2 linked regions of the Yarrowia lipolytica genome follow. The protein of the gene in region 1 interacts with the protein of each later gene in a biochemical or structural test. Links are inferred from orthologs where the notes say so. Each region holds a gene or a part of one and is shown in the gene's direction. Other genes may lie near its edges.

Region 1 (5,630 bases):
GCACCATTAACGCCAGTGTGACGCTGCAATATTGGGGGTAACGGAGGCTGGAGTTGGTGGCGCAACGTATATACGAGAGCAAGAGATGGTAATCTGAAGTGAGAGCCGTACTGTTCCAGAATATGACTTGATTTTGGCGCTTGTACCTTTGACGATTGCTGTAGACTGCTCGATAGCGTGAGTTACATAAGCCTGAGTAATGAAACTAAAGGTCTGGTTGTACTGATGCAAGTGATTAGTTTGAGGTGAATCTGACGTCGGAAAAACACCGCTGATCTACTGTAGACTCATCCCATGAACTTTAGACACGGTACGATGATGTCTTTACGCTTAGCTATCTAGCTGAGATGGACCAAAGATCCAGTTAGGGATACACTACGGCATGAATCACACGGAACCAGACCCACTAACATCAGGGGAACTGGTGAATTCTCAACAAGCAGTCAAATGGCGTTCACGAGGCTTCCCAAAAACCTCTCCCAGATCATCTCCAGCTCAACCAATATCTAACAACGAAGTCAGCTAAACCTCCATATTTTTTTATATTTTTTTATATTTTTTTTATAAGAACGTGATACCTTTGTCATATCTTGCTTAACCAATACCTAACCACTATGTTAACTAAATTACCTGTATTTATTGACCCAAAAACTAGTTAATGTACCCTCCAAAACATGTCTGCATTACGGCATTTTGCTTAATTCCCTAAAATTAGTCATCACTGCCATTCTCGCCACCCAGCCACGGCTGTTACACTTCATAAACCCATCTCTTTAAGTCTCTCCAATCTTTTTTCAATGTCTCTCGAAATAGCTCTAGGTGTCGTATTGTTGTGCGCTAATTAGGGGGGTGAACAAGTCTACCAAAAGACGCAATACTCACCAGATTGAAATTTTTAAAGCTGAAATGGAACCACAAAGTTGCAATAAACACCTTTACGTCTTCAGTTTCTCAATACCACTTCTAACCTCCCCTCCAAACCCCTCCCACGAAACCTCCAGATTCCAAACGGCACAACCTAAAGATGCATACCCCATGTCTTAGTGTGGAGACACGTAGCTAAGCCATTCGCAAGCGCTTGCTGCTGAGTAAGAGAAAGACCGATAGACGGACCTTATTTATCACGTCATGAGACGCTTGGTATCTATCACGTGACCCCATACACACTCCCCACAAACACTCACACAGTTCTGTTCTCGGGTTGCATACTCCCCGTTTAATATCTCATGCAGCATCAGCATGAGGGGGCGGTTAGGATGATATAAAACCCTCTGATAAGTCCTCCAAGTGGTTATACAGGGACTTATTCGGACCACAATTACTCCCAAAGACTTTGTGTTCTCAATTGAGCTATTCTAGGGTTCTTACTAAGCCGGTTAGATCGATACGAGTGCTAGCCGTCTTTACTCCTCATGTATGTAGGTGTATTGGAGATGTCCTTGACGTGTCAGTATGTGCTCGTACTCGTATTGTGGCAAACTCTGTTGATCTCGGTGTTGGAGAGTCCCAGAAGTTGACATGGCACAAGTTCAGCAAGTCCGTATTAATGCAACAATATTGCCACTTTCGCTCTCTGCTCCTCAGCTCTAGAGACCCTCAAATTTCACTCGGACTTAACACTGTGACATTAAAGTTGTCCCAATAAAAACACCGCATAACGAGGCTATGCGTTATCACCGGTGTCACTTGCTTTACTGAACTTGGACTTGGAGTTGTTCATCTGAGCGAGGAAGGAGTCACGCAGACACAAAAGCAATCAGACACAGCGACTACGAACGAACCCGACACAGACACAGCCGCTAAAGACACAAACTCAACAACTAGTTCAGACTCCCTTCTACGATGTCTTCCAACAGAGCCGAAGTGGACCTCAACGTCAACATCAAAAAGGCGACCAACACAGACGAGTCTGCGCCCAAGCGGAAACACGTGCGAGCATGCATTGTGTACACCCATGACCACCGGTCGTCCAAGGCCTTCTGGAACGGCATTCGAATTCAGCCCCTGCAGACCGACGATGTCATGGTCTTCAAGGCCCTGATCACCATCCACAAGGTGCTTCAGGAGGGCCACCCATCGGCGCTGAGAGATGCCCAGGCCAATGTCAACTTCATCCAGTCGTTGGCTCGAGGAAACAACTACACTGGTCCTAACCAGGGCAACCATGGTTATGGCAAGCTCATCTCCGAGTATGTCCGGTTCCTCATGCAGAAGCTCACCTTCCACAAGTACCACCCGGCCTTCAACGGAATGTTTGAGTACGAGGATTACATTTCTCTGCGAACCGTTAACGACCCCAACGAGGGATACGAGGCCATTATGAACCTGATGACCCTCCAGGACGGAGTGGACGACTTCCAGCGACTTGTCTTCTCGTCGCTGCAGCGATCCCGATCCAACGAGTGCAAAATCTCGTCTCTGGTTCCCATGATTGCCGAGTCGTACGGAATCTACCGGTTCGTCATCTCCATGCTGCGAGCCATGCATGTGTCTACTGGTAACGACGAGGCTCTTGAGTCTCTCCGGCAGCGATTCTACTCGCAGCACGACCGCCTGAGAGACTTTTACTACGATTGCTCTACTCTCAAGTACCTGCGATCCATCGTGACTATCCCGCAGCTCGGCAAGAACCCTCCCAACCTGCTTGAAGAGGAGGACGGACCTGGACTCCCCCAGCGACCCAAGTCCGTGGCCGAGACCCGATCTGTGTCTCCAGAGCCCGCTCCCTTGCCTGTGGCGACCCCTACGCCCTCTATTCCTGCTGAGGCTCAGCCGATTGAGAACTTTTGGTCCCAGGACGCGCTGCTCGCCCAGCAACAGTACGACGCCGAGCAGGAGCGGCTACGGCAGCAACAGGCCATGGAGGAGGAGCGCATCCGGCAGATGCAGATGCAGCAGCAGCAGCAGTTTGAAATGCAGCAGCGACAGCAGATGGAAGCGCAACAGCGGGCTCAGGAACAACTAATGGCCGACCAGATGGCCCGACATGCCCAGGGTCGAATGGCCGAGCTTGAGCGAGACATTCTGGCTCTCCGAGGTCAGTACGATCAGGATCAGCTCATGCTGGAGCAGTACGATGGTCGAGTAAAGGCTCTGGAGGCTGAGCTGAATCAGCTGCAGCAGACTGCTCATCAGAGCGCCCAGGCCAAGGATGATCTGATTGAATCTCTTCAGCAGCAGATCACCATGTGGCGGCAAAAGTACGAGACTCTGGCCAAACGGTACTCGTCCATGCGAGAGGAATATCTTGCCTTGCTCAAGAAGCTCAAGGCTACCCAACAGAAGGCTGCGTCAGCTAAGGAAGCCATTGAGAAGGCTGAGAAGCTGGAGCGAGACATGCGACACAAGAACATTGAGCTTGCTGATCTCATCAAGGAGCGAGATCGAGCTCGATATGATCTTGACCGTGCCAAGGGTGGCAACAAGGAGGACGTGGAGCGTCTGGAACGAGAGCTTCGAATGGCCCAGGACAAGCTGGCCGATAAGGACCGATCTACCGGTGCTGATCTGTCTCTTCTTTTGTCGAAGCATAACCGAGAGCTTTCAGAGCTTGAGAATGCTTTGAAGATGAAGCAGCGGGCTCTGGACGAGCGAGGAGATGACTCTGATCTGTTGAGACGACTGGAAGAGAAGGAGATTGAGTACGAGGCTCTCAACGAAGCCTTCAACTCGCTGGCTCTGCACCAGGAGCAGCAGGGCAACAACAGCAACGGTGGATCCACTCCCCTGGCTGCTTTGCATTCTATCATTGATGCTCTTCTAGAGTCCGGTTCCCAGCGTGTTCAGGACGCTCTCTTCGAGCTCGAGTCGCCTATGCAGGCCGGTAACCAGAACTCGACTCCCGAGTATCTCTTGTCTGTCATCGAGAAGGCGTCCGAGTCTGCTTCCGCCTTTGCCACGTCGTTCAACAACTTCTTGGCCGACGAAACCGATGGCGACTACGCCGAGATCATCAAGACCGTCAACATCTACTCTACTGCTGTGGAGAATGTTCTGTCCAACTCCAAGGGTCTCACTCGTCTGGCCAAGGACGATGCTTCTGCCGACGCCCTTGTCAACTTTGCTCGTGAGTCTGCCGAGGCCACAGAGCGAAACTTTATTGGTCTTCTGTCTGAGATCATTGAGGATTTCCCTCTGGATGACAAGATGGAGCGGGTCATCACTCTCAACATGAACGTGCAGACTGCTCTTCAGCACCTCACCAAGCTGGCCGAGCGAATGGCCCCCAAGACCAACATCAACATGTCTGGTGATCTGGGCGACCTCGTTGAGCGAGAGATGGCCAAGGCTGCTGATGCCATTGCTGCTGCTTCTGCTAAGCTTGGCGATCTGCTCAAGTTTAACCAGTCCGACCCTCTCAAGTCGACCACCGACCTGCAGCTGCACGAGGCTGCCATCCAGGCTGCCCAGGCCGTCATCAACGCCATTGCTGCGCTGATTCGAGCTGCCACCGATGCCCAGAACGAGATTGTAGCCCAGGGACGAGGTACTTCTTCTCGAGCACAGTTCTACAAGAAGAACAACAAGTGGACCGAGGGTCTTATTTCCGCGGCCAAGAGTGTAGCTGCATCGACCAACATTCTCATCGAGAAGGCCGACGGCACTCTCCGACGAACCTCTGGTCTCGAGGAGCTCATTGTGGCTTCCAACAACGTCGCTGCTTCCACTGCTCAGCTGGTTGCTGCCTCTCGAGTAAAGGCTACCTTCATGTCCAAGACCCAGGACAAGCTGGAAGAGTGTTCAAAGGTGGTTACTTCCGCCTGCCGAAACCTAAGCAGGTGCAGGAAATTCTCAACAAGAAGTTTGGCGAGCTGGACGAAAAGGTAGACTACGCTGCCCTCTCCAAGCACGAGTTCAAGACGACCGAAATGGAACAGCAGGTCGAGATTCTCAAGCTCGAAAACGATCTGCAGGGCGCCCGAAAGCGACTTGGACAGATGCGAAAGGTCGCCTACCTGCATCAGGACGAGGAGGAGTCCATTCCTGGCCAGGAGGACTAAGCTACGCGCGGCTGATGTATGTATAACATGTATGGTAAATGAATGAAATGATATTTTTAGTGATCGAATGATGAAGAAGGCTCTGCGATGCTTTACTCGTTACATGACAACTGTCCAATGCGACAGTTCTATGTTACTATGACACACACTATTTATTACGATGCAAATTATGTTGACATGCATGAGACAAACCCCACTGTAACCACTTTATTAGAAATGCTAAGGGCTCTCAGGGAAGCTGCACTCATCAATGGACCCGGGACTAGTCATGGGTGAAGGTATGAACCTAGTTGATCCATCATCAGGGGAATCCGTCTTGGGCTCTCTGAACCGACGATTGGTGAACCATTGTGTAACCTGATGAAGTGAGATTCCACAATGCTCTCCAATAATTCTCCTCTCTGTTCTGGTTGGATGAGAACAGATCTTGAACAGAGAGTCAAGATAGGCGGTAACCTCGTTACTTAACCTATTCCGGACTTTCTTAGGAAAGACGTCACAGTTGTGATCCAGACTCTGCAACTTGTCAGCTTCTTTTAGAGCTCTGGCTTTGACTTCGAGGTCTTTGGTGCTGGCCTCATAGGCCTCTGATTTCGCCTCTATGTCTTTGTCTAAATTTGCTGCGACCTC
Region 2 (3,362 bases), on another chromosome or scaffold:
TTTTTACAGTAAGTAGCTATATTAGAATTGGTTTGTATGTTACATTTGTGCTTGTGTCCTGTTTGGATTATTCACTCCTCACCCTCCAACTTTCTCTTTTTGGAGTCAGGAGCATCGGAGTCGGCATCGGAATCAGAGTCGTCTTCGTATTGAGGCACAGAAAAATCGTTGCTGGGAAGAGGCTGAGCCACATACCCCGACTCACCAGCAGTAACCACAGCTGGAAGGGGCTCGTAAGAGTCTGACTCATCCTCCTCGTCTGCGATTGAGAATGGCAGCTTTGTAGACTCAGGCTCGCTTGGAGCAGGTTCCGAAGCGGGTTGAGGAACGTAATCGTCGTTCTCTTCCTCCTCAGGATGAGCCTGCTCAACTGACGCACCGTTAGTATCTTGAACAAGACTGGAGACCTCCTTTTGAGCATCTTGGATTTCCTTCTTCATCTTCTCGAACATAGTCATGTTGTGTTTATCCTCTTCAAGGAGAGACGCCTGCTTGTTCTTGAGAGTCAGCAGAGCACTATCAATCTCGCTGCGCAGCTTCTGGTTGGCAGAAATGTCTGTGATAGTCTTGTTTACTGTTTCAAGAAGAGTAGCAAGAGCTTGCGAATCCCGTGACTTCTGACTGGACTCAAGCTTGCTCTTGGTCTCAGTGACGGTCGTAGTTTTAGTCACCTTTCCGAGCAGAGTGTTGAGCTCCTGCAACTCGGATCGAACTGACGGTGCTGCCGTTGAGCCACCCAGATCTGCAAAGCCAGTTCCTCCAATGCCACCCAATCCGGACCCTCCGATTCCTCCAAGACCTGAGCCTCCGATTCCTCCTAAGCCAGATCCCCCAATTCCCCCTAGACCGCCAAGTCCCGATCCACCAATGCCTCCGAGTCCTGTACCTCCAATTGAACTGCCTCCAAGGGCATCTGATCCGGTGGGCCCTTCGCTGCTGTCAAGCTGTCTTGTCTTGCTATTGATCTCCTCGATTACGTCGGGTCTGAAGACCTGTCGCTGTTCCCAGACCTCCACCACTCGCTTGATTTTGTTCCGGAGATCGGTGTTGCCCTCGCGGTAGGTGGATACTATTCCGTCCACAATGACAGTGGAAAACGCCTCGATGAATTCGTCTCTCTTCTTGGCCTTGGCCTGCTGGACCACATCGTTAGCGAGGTAGATCATAGCCAGTTTTCGCTTGAGAGGAATGTTTCGAATGTAGTCGTACCAGGTCTGTGCGATGGGTCCGCAAGCTCGTCGGTGGAACTGGATCCATTGAGACACCGAGACAATTGAGTCCTGGGTCTCATTGAGTGCCGACAGCTTCGACATGAAAGAGTCCACTGAGAAAGACATGTGGTGTTGTGTTGAATAGGATGAGATATGAAGTGATGATGCTTGCTAAAAGCCCCTGTGGATCTGTGTGTGTGTGTGTGTGTGTCAGTAACGTTCCTGTTGTCGGTTACGGTGTAAAAACAGGTGTGTCGCTTTTCTGGTTGTCTCCAGACAGTAAAAGCGGTCGCTAAAATGATTGTTCTGGAGAATTGCAGCAAACTGCAAGTCGGTTTTTAGGCCTTTCGTAACTTATTTACGTTGTTCTGCATAGTCCTTGTCTGACCAACTAATTAAAGTACAATTTCAACAAATATTTGTACGATGTTGCCATTGGGACTACTGTACATTTTGTACGTACAGTAATCCAAAGAAGGCTGGTCATTGACTGTGCCTGAGTACAGTCAGAACGGGGGCTCCAGAGATTGTGTGGGGCTACTGGAAATGTAGGGATAATGAATTGGTCGCATTGATCGGATTAATTTCAAAAAAAACAAAAACAATTCACTTCCATACGTGATTTTCCTCCTCGCACAACCACAGCCACCTTATCAACATTTTAGACTTTCATGACACGTGACGTCAATAAGCTCCACATCATCACCTCCCAAGATTCATCACCCAAATAACGCAACGTCACACACATCAACAATGGCTGACAAATTCCCCGCTCTCGAAGATATTGACGATCTCCCTCAGGATGTCGAAGTCGATGTCGACATCAAGGACACCCACGCCGACGAGGATGACTTCAAGAAGTCGTTCCCTTCCCTGGAGGACGAGGAGAACGATCTCACCGAGAACGCATTCAAGGAGGACTTCCCCGCCCTCGAGGAGGAGACACAGGCTACCACCGGCAACGTTGTTACTGCTGAGGCTACCGAGGATTCCTCTCCCGTCGATGGCCTTGAGACCTCCGTCAAGAGCCTGAACCTGTCCGAGTCCACCGCTATCAAGGAGTGGAAGGAGCGACAGCAGCTGGAGATTGAGCGACGAGACCAGCAGGCCGAGGCTAAGCGAAAGGAGACCATTGAGAAGGCCCAGAAGGCCATTGACGACTTTTACGAGAACTACAACTCCAAGCGTGATGAGGGCGTCAAGTCCACTCAGGAGGCCGCCAAGGAGTTCCTTGCAAGCATAGATGATACTTCCTCTTCCTCTGGCACCACCTGGGACCGAGCTCTGAAGCTGATTGATGACTCTGACACCGGAACCAAGGAGGGTTCTCGAGACAAGACTCGATTCCGAGAGATTCTTCTGTCTCTCAAGGGTGACGTCGACGCCCCTGGTGCCGCTGGTTACTAAATGTATGATAAGATAATGATTTAATGAAGTAACAATTAGTAATTTGTGTTGGTTGAAGTGTCACATTATGTGCTTTTGAGGTGCTGTACTAGTACACTACTTGTAGCTACTGCCACACACAAGTTCTGGCATCTTAATAGCCGTGTCAACTTGTCCATGTATACTGACACGTAAATCGAACGAACTCTACACTCAAATTCAGCACAAAAGCAGATGCAGCCAGAGTACGCGTTTTTCGGCTTTAAAAGATGTAGAATCAGCCCAGTAGCAGACATGATTTCTGTCACAGTCGTTTGGAATATCCCACCTAACAGTGTGCCAATCCTAGTCGTCCTGGACCTCAATCGGTCATGCATGAAAGCAGTGCATTGAGTAAGTTGTACAACTGGGACTGTAGTGTCGTATTCATCATCCTCAACATCTACACCACCATGCTGGTCTTGGTAACAACAGGTGGAACGGTGCCGTTTGAGGCTCTCATCGAGCTGGTACTCTCACATGAATCCATTACTACGCTTTCCCAGCTGGGATTCTCCAAAATGCGCGTTCAATACGGACGGGGCAATCGCCATATCTTCACAAAACATCACAAGGAAGGCGTCATGTCGATAACGGGGTTTGAGTACACCGATGATCTCGCAGGTGAAATGTCGAGGGCACATTTGGTTATTTCGCATGCAGGAACTGGATCTGTTTTGGATGCACTCAGAATAGGCAAACATCCAGTGGTTGTGGTGAACAGTA

Evidence for each region.
Region 2: the proteins of YALI1_C09923g (region 1) and YALI1_E39385g form a complex in vitro, tested with the Saccharomyces cerevisiae proteins (2 studies listed by BioGRID). The link is inferred for Yarrowia lipolytica from reciprocal best matches to the Saccharomyces cerevisiae genes SLA2 and CLC1.

The regions. Positions count from the first base shown.
Region 1 is NC_090772.1:988,597-994,226, reverse strand, and holds YALI1_C09923g (uncharacterized protein), read left to right. Parts: upstream 1-1,842; coding exon 1,843-4,827; downstream 4,828-5,630. Other genes in the region: YALI1_C09885g (uncharacterized protein), read right to left, coding at 5,220-5,630. UniProt on the Saccharomyces cerevisiae protein: Required for cellular morphogenesis and polarization of the cortical cytoskeleton. It might act in concert with proteins such as CDC42 and CDC43 to limit the region of cortical patch formation to the cortex of the bud.
Region 2 is NC_090774.1:3,936,521-3,939,882, forward strand, and holds YALI1_E39385g (uncharacterized protein), read left to right. Parts: upstream 1-1,964; coding exon 1,965-2,618; downstream 2,619-3,362. Other genes in the region: YALI1_E39378g (uncharacterized protein), read right to left, coding at 72-1,337; YALI1_E39395g (uncharacterized protein), read left to right, coding at 2,969-3,362. UniProt on the Saccharomyces cerevisiae protein: Clathrin is the major protein of the polyhedral coat of coated pits and vesicles. In yeast, it is involved in the retention of proteins in an intracellular membrane compartment, presumably the trans-Golgi. The yeast light chain is important for cell growth.